Macaca mulatta: one gene and its partners. The protein of the gene in region 1 interacts with the protein of each later gene in a pairwise test. Links are inferred from orthologs where the notes say so. Each region holds a gene or a part of one and is shown on either strand. Other genes may lie near its edges. The genes, in order: COPG1, COPZ2 and COPZ1.

What was found.
Region 2: the proteins of COPG1 (region 1) and COPZ2 interact in a two-hybrid assay, tested with the Homo sapiens proteins (2 studies listed by BioGRID). The link is inferred for Macaca mulatta from reciprocal best matches to the Homo sapiens genes COPG1 and COPZ2.
Region 3: the proteins of COPG1 (region 1) and COPZ1 interact in a two-hybrid assay, tested with the Homo sapiens proteins (2 studies listed by BioGRID). The link is inferred for Macaca mulatta from reciprocal best matches to the Homo sapiens genes COPG1 and COPZ1.

The regions. Positions count from the first base shown.
Region 1 is NC_133407.1:154,688,326-154,691,892, forward strand, and holds part of COPG1 (coatomer subunit gamma-1), read right to left. Parts: intron 3,188-3,567; coding exon 3,112-3,187; intron 2,284-3,111; coding exon 2,134-2,283; intron 1,796-2,133; coding exon 1,599-1,795; intron 1,287-1,598; coding exon 1,218-1,286; coding exon of another isoform or gene 1,156-1,217; intron 1-1,155. UniProt on the Homo sapiens protein: The coatomer is a cytosolic protein complex that binds to dilysine motifs and reversibly associates with Golgi non-clathrin-coated vesicles, which further mediate biosynthetic protein transport from the ER, via the Golgi up to the trans Golgi network.
Region 2 is NC_133421.1:61,984,710-61,988,794, reverse strand, and holds the start of COPZ2 (coatomer subunit zeta-2), read right to left. Parts: upstream 2,866-4,085; 5' UTR 2,849-2,865; coding exon 2,738-2,848; intron 2,312-2,737; exon of another isoform or gene 2,225-2,311; intron 1,990-2,224; coding exon 1,915-1,989; intron 1-1,914. UniProt on the Homo sapiens protein: The coatomer is a cytosolic protein complex that binds to dilysine motifs and reversibly associates with Golgi non-clathrin-coated vesicles, which further mediate biosynthetic protein transport from the ER, via the Golgi up to the trans Golgi network.
Region 3 is NC_133416.1:61,517,988-61,522,283, forward strand, and holds the start of COPZ1 (coatomer subunit zeta-1), read left to right. Parts: upstream 1-1,496; 5' UTR 1,497-1,520; coding exon 1,521-1,538; intron 1,539-4,296. UniProt on the Homo sapiens protein: The coatomer is a cytosolic protein complex that binds to dilysine motifs and reversibly associates with Golgi non-clathrin-coated vesicles, which further mediate biosynthetic protein transport from the ER, via the Golgi up to the trans Golgi network.

The DNA of each region.
Region 1 (3,567 bases):
AGTTAAGACAAATGGCCAATAAAGAGATATTTCAGAATGAGAGCGTTGCAGAAAACCCAACTTAGAATGGTCTGTGTCTGGTTAAGACCTATGCCTACACCCTATGGCCAGGTTCAAGCACTGGATTTAAGCACAGGCCCATGGGACCCCACCCTGGCTGGTCCTGGCATTCCTTGCAGACTAAAGGGAATAACCCAAGTGAATGAGGCATCTGGTAGATGTGTGCACATGGTGTCCACCTATAATGGCTACAGCTACCACTCTTGCACCTATTCTATGGCAGGATTCCTCGCACTATGACCATGGATCACCTGTATCAGAATTACTAGGGGTTGGCGGTAGAGCTTGCTAAAAACTCAGATTCCATCCCAAATCTACTACATCAGAATCTCTGGTTTCAGGATCAAGGAATTTGCATTTCTAATATGTTTCCTCAGATTATTCCAATATATACTGATATTTGAAGACCACTGCTCTAAGATTCTCAACTTGTCTTCCCAATTAATTGAACTCCATTAGAACAGGAATTGTGCTTTGAGGCCAGGGATCTGATATTTTTCCCTGTACTTAGAAGGTACTCAATTCACGTTTCAGACATAGAGAAAGGTGGGCCTTATTGTTATTATTTTGCTTTTTTCCTCCACAAAAAGTCGGCCTATGCGACTGCTTCAGCCCTCTGCAGCCTGAAGACTGAATCTAATGAACGCGCAGGCAATAAAAATCCCAGAACAATCTAGGCTAGATATTAGGAGCAACTTTTGGGCCACCATGACCATCAACCACCAAAGTGCTTTTCTATTGCTATTTATTTTCTTGGGAGTCAGAGTTTTGGCCTGATACTTACTACCTGGGGGATTCTGTTGATAGGGTTTCAGACTCTTCTTCAATAAAACTGATACAATTATCTTGATCACAGTGTTGTTGTAAAGACAAATGAGGCAATAAATATCAAGATCTAGGAAAGTTCTTGGCACTGAGCCAGTTTGATCTGGATCTTAATTCCAGCCGCTCCTACCACTTTCTCTCTCTGAACTTTCAATTCCTCAGATATTGAAGGAAACTAACAACCACCATCTGAGGGTCAAATGTGATACTAGGTCTAAAGCATCTCAAGGGCCCAGCACTCAGGAGAGACCAATAAATGACAGTTCTTACTCTTGATCCCCCTGAGGAAACTGAGCCCAGGTCCCAAGCACCCCCCAACCACTGTGACTCACCCTGGAAGATCTCCTGCCTGGTAGCTGCCACTTTCTCAGGCTGTTTGACTGCTGTGATGGGGGTGCTTTCTGCAGGAGCAAATTATACACATGATGACCAACGGCTGCAGTCATGGGGCAGTGTGGTGGTGACCCCAGCGCTGTTACTCAGGGATTATGAATACTAACCCTCCTGAGAGTGGAAAGCACAGGACATGTGAGAGAGCACACATCTGTGTGTATGTGTGTCTCTATTTTTGGGATCCAGAGGCGGAAAGGATCATTTCCTCCTCCCAGCATAACTCCCACCCGTCCCAGTTAGGTTTAGTGGCTTTGCAGCCAATGCAGACCCTCTGACAGAGGCCTGGCCTTGATGGCCTCTGGGAGGAGTATAGGTGTTACCTGTTCTCTGCTCTGCCATGGGCGCTGTGGCCAGGGGTACAGACTTGAGGTCAAAAGGTTTTTCTGATGGTTCTAGAGTGTACTGCTGCAGAGCCCTCTCCAGACCAGGGATGGACACAGTCAGACCTAGAGGCGAAGAGAGGTCACCATGTCTGGCAGACAGAGCAAAATGCGCACCAGGGACCACCATGGAGGCCCTGGGTCCCGAAGTTACAAGTCCTAAGTGGTACGACCCTGAGAAAATCACTTTATTCTCTAAGCCTCTTCATTCTCAGATACATCCTCCCTTACAGGGTAGGTGTGAGGAATAAACATACATACGAAGTGACTTGTAAAGGGTAAAGTACTGTAAAAATAAAGTTTTTATTAATGATGAGAGTTTGAATTCACTGGACAATTTCCACCCACACTGGTGTGACCTGAATGACCCAGGACCTCCTGAGGTCACCGTGATGCCATGTGGTTACCAGGCAAGTCCAGCCACGAGCATCTTGCCTCGGATTTCCCCTGCCCAGGGAGTGATGAGAAGAACCACAGCTCCAGTAAGGTGCTGAGTCCAAGGTAGCTAGGGAATGACTCACCATTTAGGATATAGCCTGCATTGAGGGCCTTCTGCTTCTGCTCCAGGACATTTAAGTAGAAGGTGGCTCGGTCCCTTACTTCATTGTCATCATCCATCACACACCTGCAGCCGGGACACAAGGTGGTCCTGACTGGGGCCCAGCAGGGATGGCAGGAGGGATCCTGCAGGGCTTCATTAGAGGCAAGTCCATAGGGATAACAAGTAGACTAGTGGTGGCCCCAGGCTGAGGGTGGAGGGAGTGAGGAGAGGCCACATTCATGAACATTGAGTTCCTTTTTGGGATGATGAAATGTTTTAAACCCAGGTTGTGGTGATGGCTCCATAACTCTGTGAATATGCTAAAACCCACCAAACTACACATCTTAAATGGGTAAATTGTATGGTATGTGAATTATATCTCAATAGATTTTTTTTTTTTTTGAGATGGAGTCTCGCTCTGTCACCCAGGCTGGAGTGCAGTGGTGCGATCTCGGCTCACTGCGAGCTCCGTCTCCCGGGTTCACACCATTCTCCTGCCTCAGCCTCCCAAGTACCTGGGACTACAGGCGCTCGCCACCACGCCCGGCTAATTTTTTGTATTTTTAGTAGAGACGGGATTTCACCATGTTAGCCAGGATGGTCTCAATCTGACCTCGTGATCCACCTGCCTCGGCCTCCCGAAGTGCTGGGATTACTGAGCTACTGCACCCAGCCTCAATAGAGCTATTTTTTTTAAGTGGGCAAAATAATTTAAGTTACCAATTGTCACATCTTGTTGGTGCGATTTGTACAGCATTGTTTTTCATGCTTTTCTATGCTTTCTCTTTTTTTTCTACAATCAGTAGCTGTAACTTTTCTCTCCCTTCTCAGTTAAAAAAAATAAAGACAAAGGAAAGCTGCTTGAGTCTAAGGGAATATTGTTCCCATGAGGGCCCCTGGGCCTAGACTCACCTCTTCAGCAACACCAAGATACTGGGTAACATCTCTTCATTCTGGGCTCCAAACTTGGCCAGAGCACTCACAGCACCTGTGTTTAGGAAGCGAATGTGATTTACCCAATGCACCCTGACAACTCACTGGGTACTTCCAGCACTCAGAATGGGTCTTCAGGCAGAAGAGCCCCAGAGGCAAGAAGTCTCAAGCCAGAAGGCCCAAAGTCACTATCAACACAGTGAGTGGCTTTGGGTGGATCTTGGCGCCACGCCAGTCCTCAACTTCCTTATCTATTTAATGGAAAAGGGAGCCAGATGGGATCAGTAGCTCCCATTCTAAGGTTCCAGGAGCTATTTTCAAATTAACCATGATGAGGTCACAGAAGCTGGCTATAATGTAAAGCTCCTCACCTTCCATATCCAAATGGCGTCAATTTGCAGTTAAGGCTCAGAATAATATAAATGAGAAAGGGAA
Region 2 (4,085 bases), on another chromosome or scaffold:
GCGTCACTGAACTCCAGTCTGGGCAGCAGAGTGAGACTCTGTCTCAAGAAAACAAAACAAACAAACAAACAAACAAAACAAAAAAAGAAGTCAGGTAACTTCCCCAACATCTCACAGTTGTGAGGCCAAAGCTGGGTTTGAGCAGTAAGGACGGTCTGACTGCAGACAGGGTTATAGTGAAGATTAAATATCTAAGAAACAATCCCTCGCACATATCCCATAACTAAATTAATGTTTTTTTGTTTGGGAATGGTGAGCCTCTTTCTCTTACTCAGTTTCTTAATCTGTAGGGAGCAAGAGGCTTTGGCCTTGCTGATCCACCTCTGACCATCTGCTGGGGCAAGGTGTGGTCAGCTCAGTTTTCAATTTTCTGGATGTGGATTTTGCCACTTAGTACTCAATCTGCAGGCAGATTAGCCAGCTCCCTACTGGCCGCTGCTTATCTGAATGTCATAAAAACAGAAAAGTTTCAGCTCCAAACAAACAAACAAACAAACAAACAAACAAACAGAAAATCTATTTTTTGAGATGGGGTCTCACTCTATAACCCAGATTGGAGGGCAGTAGCTCGATCATGGCTCACTGCAGCCTCAACCTCCCAGGCTCAGGCGATCTTCCCACTTTAGCCTCCCCGAGCGCTGGGACTACAGGCGCACACCACCACACCCAGCTAATTTTCATACTTTTTTTTGTAGAGATGGGGTTTGCCATGTTGCCCAGGCTGGTCTGGCACTCCTGGGCTCAAGCGGTCCACCCGTCTCAGCCTCCCAAAGTGCTGGGATTACAGGCATCAGCCACTGCGCCTGGCCTTATAATGCATTTCTTTTCTTTTTCTTTTTGAGACAGAGTTTCTCTCTTGTTGCCCAGGCTGGAGTGCAATGGCGCGATCTTGGCTCACTGCAACCTTTGCCTCCCAGGTTCAAGCAATTCTCCTGCCTCAGCCTCTTGAGTAGCTGTAACTACAGGCGCCCACCACCATGCCCAGCTAATTTTTTGTATATTTAGTAGAGACAGGGTTTCACCATATTGGCCAGGCTGGTTTTGAACTCCTGACCTCGAGTGATCTGCCCACCTCGGCCTCCCAAAGTGTTGGGATTACAGGTGTGAGCCATTGCGCCCGGCCTTATAATGCATTTCATAGCTAATGCAGATGCTGTAGTTCCACTACAATTAATTGTGTTGACAGCAGAAATTTATTTTTGGATTATTTTAGGCCGTGTTTGCTAGGATAGATAACAGATAATTGAATGGGGGTACAGTGAAAACCACCTTGAGCTTAATGTAAAAAAACCTGAGTTTGCCTGTGAAACCTGTGAAATGGGAGAAGTGAAAAAATTAAATAAGTAAATAAATAAAATATGAGTTTGGATCTGTTAGGATATTAATACTTGTGACCTCAGGCAATTCACTTAGCTTCTCTACACCTCATTTTCTTCATCTATGAAATTAAAGAGTTGTATTACACAGTCTCTAAAATCCCATCTGGTTCTAAATCCTTAGACTCCTTAGGCTAAATCCTTAGTGTTTACCAAGCTGTAGAACAAAAGTGGAGGTTTTGAGGAGGTTTAGAGACAAACCCCAAAGAACAAAAGAGCTTGTGTAGGGGTTTGGGGACTAAGACTCCTGGGTCCCAGGCTCAACACTCCACTGATCCATTAGGCAGAAACTTCCCATGCCCAGGTCCAGCTGGCCAGTACCGATGATGAGGAAACACTTCAGGGAACATGAGTAGAAACAGGGGAGACCCCTCACTTCAGGGAGCAGCACCTTGACAAGGCAGGAGGATGAGAAGGACTTCTGGAGGGGTCTAAGCTGAGCTGCCCTGAGTCACAGAGACCACAGTGGAGTTTCTCCTGAGACAGGAGTGTCAGCTGGATGGGAACTGTGTCCCTCACAGGTGGGGTCAGAGGTTACCTTGGCCAGCAGCCGGCGCCCGTCATTATCTAGGATGAAAACAGCCTTGATGGTGTAGAGGGAAGGTTCCTGCAACTGACACCGGGGAGGAGAGTTCTGTTTGGCCCCTGGCTCAAGGTGGACACCCTGTCTCTATGGGATCTGCTGGCCCTAGGATACACCCTCAGGCTCCAGCAACCCCAGCCCTCAAGGTCCACAGCTGGTTCTGCCCAACCCTGTGCCACATGGGCCAACCCAGGTGCCCACTCCACTCCCAGGCAGATGTTCCACTGCAGGCCCCGAGTGGGCGCTGTGCCCGTTGGGTGCAGAAGGTCCTTCCGGGCCCAAGTTCTGTCATGCACTGACTGCTCCAGAGCCCGAGTCGGAGTGTATCACAGAACCTGGGCCGGGGGGGACAGCGGGCCGAGCCTCCTCCTTCCAGCTGATCCCTGGCCGGGCTGGACCTGCGCTCTCAGCGCGCCCCCAGGCCCTGGCCCTGGCCCGGGTGGACTCCAGCAGCATGCCCATCACCCACCGGTGATGGGAGGCGAGTCTGGGACGGACAGGCCACTCCTTACCCTCCCCGCGGAATCGCAACTCACCCGCCACCCCCCGCTCCAAACGGACCCAGAACTTCAGCCCCGCGCCGACGGACTCAGGACAGGCCTCCTCGCCGGTTGGCGCCGGGACGAACTTTTCCTCCCGGGTCCTGGGGCCGGTCAGGGGTGACACAAAGTTCCCAGCCGCTGGGCGCGCGAGTTCTGAGTTGGCTGCTCCCCTCAATCCTGCACCGTCCCGGCCCAGCTCCCGCCGCCCGGGACCCCCGCTCCCGCCCGCTCCGTACCCGCAGCCCCGAGGGCTCCCCGGCTCGAGCAGGCGGCGCCGGGCCCCCGGCCTGGGCCGCCGCGGCCCCCTCCCCCGGGTGTGGACGTGGCCAGGCCTCGGGCCGCTGCATTCCGCTCGCCGCCTCGCACTGACAGCGCCGCCCGCCTCCTGCCCGCCGCCGCCGCCCCGCCTCCGCGCCCGCCCCGTGGCCCCCTCTCGCGCGTGGCCTTCCTTTCCTCGGGGCCCCGTTCTCTTGCTCGTTCTCCCCGCTCTCCCCTCCCGCCCTCACCCCAGCTCTTCTTCCCCCACCTCTCCTTTCCCTCTCTCCTTGGCTCCTTCCCGAGTCCCTTACAGCCCCGAACTCTGCATCTTCAGGGTGCCCCAAGACCAGCCCTCGTCCTGCTTTCTGCCTGCTCTCCGGCCTGTGGCTTTGGTGTGCACCGGTGTCTGTAGGCTGTCCTGGGGCCAGCAGCAAACACAAGCAAAGCCCACTTTTTTCTGTTGACCTCTGGTAGGTACCATGGGGACAAATATGTCAGATCACCCTTTAGATCTCCGGGACAGGGTCTATAAGCAAGAGCACATGAGGACAGTTCTGGGGACACTCCTCTGTGAAGAGGCTTTCCCATTCCTCTCTCACTACTTGCAGAAGGGAACCATGGCCGCGGAGACACCTCCCCAGGCTCTCCTAAGACACAGATATGGCACCATCAAAAGCAAGACAGACGCCCAGCAGCACAAATGCTCCACCAATGACATTGGGCTTTGCAGCATGTTTTGGTTTCTTTGGTCTAAGTGTACCAAAGACAAGCTCTCATTTCAGGATATGCTGGCAAGTGGAAAATTCACACCCCAGTGATATGTATGTTAGTGGTACGTATGCATTTACTGGTAAAAACACTGTGCATGTATTTTACATTTGACACCTTCACATACGTTATCTAATATAGCCCACACCTGTGAGGTAGGCATAATGGACCCTCATTTTAAGGAAAGAGAGACTCAGAGGTTGTGTCACCTTTTCAAGACCATACAGCTAGTTGACTGGGAATAGAACCCAGATTTTTGACTCAAAATTTCTTCCCTATTCTTCTCTTCAAGCCCTCTTATGTTGTGGACCACAGTCACTTACCCTAGATGGTTACAGAATGGGGTTTTCCTCACTGAATGCATCAAGCCTTCTTATCTTCAAGCCTCTGCTGAAATATCATTACCAAAAGGTCCTCCTGACAGCCACCATATCTGACTTGATCGGTCTCTCCTGTCACATTCTCTATCTCAGTTCCTATTTCTTCCTTTCATTGCACTTTTCTCAATCTCTAAACATTATTTTTACTAATTTTGCTTGTTTGAGACATGGTCTCACT
Region 3 (4,296 bases), on another chromosome or scaffold:
GCGGCAGGGAGAATCGCTTGAAACTGGGAGGCAGAGGTTACAGTGAGCCAAGATCACACCACTGCACTCCAGCCTGGGAGACAGAGAGAGACTCCATCTCAAAAAAAAAAAAAAAAAAAAAAAAGAAAGAAAAAGAAAAATTCCTGCATAAGTCTGGAATCTCTTCTTGGAGAGCTCCTAAGGACATAATTTTCAGAGATGAGGGAAAAAAATCCCTGAGGGATAATTAAGGCAATAGGTATCCCTGCCCTAAGAGGAGTCAGGGATCAGGAAACCAAGAGATAGGGGAAAGCCAAGCTTCATCAAAACCATTCCCTATTGTGAAATCCTTGCATTCAGTAAACTTCTCTTTTCTCATTTTGCAACGGCTCGTTTCTTTCCTTTTCTTTTTCTTTCTTTCTTTTTTTTTTTTTTTTTTTTTTTTGAGATGGAGTTTTGCTCTTGTTGCCCAGGCTGGAGTGCAATGACGTGATCTTGGCTCACCGCAACCTCGGCCTCCTGGGTTCAAGAGAGTTTCCTGGCTCAGCCTCCCGAGTAGCTGGGATTATAGGCATGCTCTACCATGCCCGGCTAATTTTGTATTTTTTTTTTTTTTTTAGTAGATACGGGGTTTCTCCATGTTGGTCAGGTTGGTCTCGAACTCCCGACCTCCGATGATTTGCTCACCTCGGCCTCCCAAAGTGCTGAGATTACAGGCTTGAGCCACCGCGCCCAGCCACAACGGCTTGTTTCTATTGGAAAACCCCAGACCTTACTCCCTATAACCCTCCCTTATTCTAATCCCTTTCCCCGTTTGTCCCCCCAACTCCATCTCCAAAGACGATTTCACGTTGAGCCAAAGTTAGCTTTTACAAACTCTGACTTCTCATGTTCCTCAGGCCCAGCAAAGCCTGGAACTCCACCTTAGGGAGATTGTTACTGCGACTATCATCTCCTGGCAGCCTTGGTTTATGTAGTTAACATGTTGGGCCTTTCTTGGCTCTACTCTATGGTTGTGCAGACTTTCTGTGAGGATGCTGAAGTGACCCGAGCGAGCCTGAGGGAAGGGCTAGCCACAGAGATCATGGACCTAGGGGGCGCTGAAAATAGGGATTATTAGGGCAGGATCCCTGTTAGGAAGCGCCAGCGTTAAAGGCTAAGGAGACACAGCGCCCCCTAAAGAGGGTGCGGTTTAAAATCGCTAAATCAGGCCGACAATATCACGTGTCCCCGGCCCTACCAATTGAAAATTAACAATCGCTTCCTCCGTTCCCCATGGAAACAACCCCGCCCCACCGACCCTCCCGCCCTAATAAGTCGTGAGGTTTTGGCGTTTTATTGAGTATTCAAACTGACAATCAAACACCTGTGCCTTCTGGTTGGATACTCTGCTTCCGGTAAGCAAGTTAGTACAATAATTGGTCAACAGAGCAAGTCTTACCCAATGATCCTTATCCTAGGCAGGGCCTAATGGGGACGTATGGCCAATCAGCGGTGGCGTTACTTTTGCGGCTCCACGTCGGCACCAGCTGCGGGGCAAGATGGAAGCGCTGATTTTGGTAGGAGCTGGAGGGGCAGCAGAGATGCTGTGCTGTCCACAGGGGCCGGGAGTCAGGGTGCAGCCCGAGTGGGAGACGGGGAAGGAGAGTTCCGGGTAATTCTTGGGGACTGACGGTTCTGCCGACCCTTGGAATAAGTGTGTGGCCTAGTGTAGGAGCTAAAGCCTTGGTTTAGAGTAGGAAGCCCTGCCGGGGAGAGGGCATAGAGTCGGTGGAAAGTTAAAGGTAGCACATGGACTCCTTAGGATACACAGACCTGTAAGCGTACTGGATTAGGACTCTTCAGGTTTCCCCTTATTTTTAGCATTGTGGATGATATCCTGATTTTAATTTACCCAAACCACCAAACTAGCCCCATATTGTGAGAAAGGAATACAGATGTTTTGTCGTTACAGGCTCCTCCTGATGGTTTCCCAAGTTTGACTCTCCATTGCTGATTCCCTGCCACATTCTTTCAGGAAACTGTTTTCTCTTGGGTTTCCTATTAATCCCTATTAAATAGGTTTGTCATGATAAAGAATCAGTGTTTCATCAAAGTTCTGGGATACCTGATAAAGTTAGCATGGATTGTGGAATATTTTTTCCAGACTCCTTATTCTGTTCTCCTTTTCTCTACCCATTGGACCTTAGGAATTCTTTTTTTTTTTTTTTTTTTTTTTTTGAGACCGAGCCTTGCTCTGTCGCCTACGCTGGAGTGCACACGTGGCACGATCTTGGCTCACTGCAGTCTCCGCCTCCCGGGTTCAAGCTATTCTCCTGCCTCAGTCTCTTGAATAGTTGGGACTATAGGCGCGTGCCACCATGCCCGGCTAATTTTTTTTTGTATTTTTAGTAGAGACGTGGTTTTACCATGTTGGCCAGGCTGGTTTCGAACTCCTGACCTCAAGTGATCCGCCGGCCTCGGCCTTCCAAAGTGCTGGGATTACAGGCGTGAGCCATCGCGCCTGGCCAGGAATTATTTTATTTTATTTATTTATTTATTTATTTATTTATTTATGAGACGGAGCCTCGCTCTGTCGCCTAGCCTGGAGTGCAGTGGCGCGATCTCGGCTCATTGCAATCGCCGCCTCCCTGGTTCACGCCATTCTCCTGCCTCAGCTTCCCAAGTAGCTGGGACTACAGGCGCCTGCCACCATGCCTGGCTAATTTTTTGTATTTTTCTTTTTTTTTTTTTTTTTGAGACGGAGTCTTGCTCTGTCGCCCAGGCTGGAGCGCAGTGGCCAGATCTCAGCTCACTGCAAGCTCCGCCTCCCGGGTTTACGCCATTCTCCTGCCTCAGCCTCCCGAGTAGCTGGGACTACAGGCTCCCACCACCTCGCCCGGCTAGTTTTTTGTATTTTTTTTTAGTAGAGATGGGGTTTCACCGTGTTAGCCAGGATGGTCTCGATCTCTTGACCCCGTGATCCGCCCGTCTCGGCCTCCCAAAGTGCTGGGATTACAGGCTTGAGCCACCGCGCCCGGCCAATTTTTTGTATTTTTTAGTAGAGATGGGATTTCACCGTGTTAGCCAGGATGGGATTTCACCGTGTTAGCCAGGATGGTCTCGATCTCCTGACCTCATAATCTGCCTGCCTTGGCCTCCCAAAGTGCTGGGATTACAGGCGTGAGCCACCGCGCCTGGCCAGGGATTCTCATTGTATGATCTAGGATGCTAATTTCTCCCTTTCTGGTTACATGAGAATTGTGGTCGCTACAAGGAGTGTATTAGCCCTCTTGTCCATATGATGCTTTATGCTTGTTCTAACAAATAAAATACCTGTTACCCCTTATTTAGAACTGAACCAGATAATTTCTCTCAAAAGTGCCCTATTTTGCGATTTGGAGGGGTGTGTGTGTGTGTATGTGTGTGTGTGTGTAGGTAGGTAGGTAGGTAGTTAATGTAGGAATTTAACTCCCAGCCTCCTTCGTTAATTGGCTTGAACTCCAGGCCTCTTTCCAAAGAAGCTTGTCTTTTATTTTCCTTTAGATCTCCTATGCATACATATTCAGATCCTCGTCAGATAAAAGAATAACAGTTTTTAATTCCTCTCTTTCAGCATGTTAAAGACAGATAATTCCGACCATCCTGGCTAACACGGTGAAACCCCGTCTCTACTAAAAAATACAAAACACTAGCCGGGCGAGGTGGCGGGCGCCTGTGGTCCCAGCTACTCCGGAAGCTGAGGCAGGAGAATGGCGTAAACGCGGGAGGCGGAGCTTGCAGTGAGCTGAGATCCGGCCACTGCACTCCAGCCTGGGCGACAGAGCCAGACTCAGTCTCAAAAAAAAAAAAAAAAAAAAAAAGACAGATAATTCCTTATGTCAGTTGGTCAAATATAGGTAAAAAGCTTAAAATCTGAGTAGTTTTAAATATTTTCTGTACCAGGCAGTTAACAAATATTCTTTTTTTTTTTTTTGAGATAGAGTCTGGCTGTGTTACTCAGGCTGGAGTGCAGTGGTACTATCTTGGCTCACTGCAACCTCCGTCTCCCAGAATCAAGCAATTCTCGTGCTTCAGCCTCCCGAGTAGCTGGAATTACAGGCACGTGCCACCATGCCCAGCTAATTTTTGTATTTTCAGTAGAGACGGTTTCACCATGTTTGCCAGGCTGGTCTGGTCTTGAACTCCTGACCTCAAGTGATCTGCTGCCTTGGCCTCCCAAAGTGCTGGGATTACAGGTGTGAGCCACTGCACCTGCCCAGTTAGCAAGTATTTTTTTTTTTGTTTTTGTTTTGGAGACAGAGTCTCACTGTGTCATCCAGCCTGGAGTACAGTGCT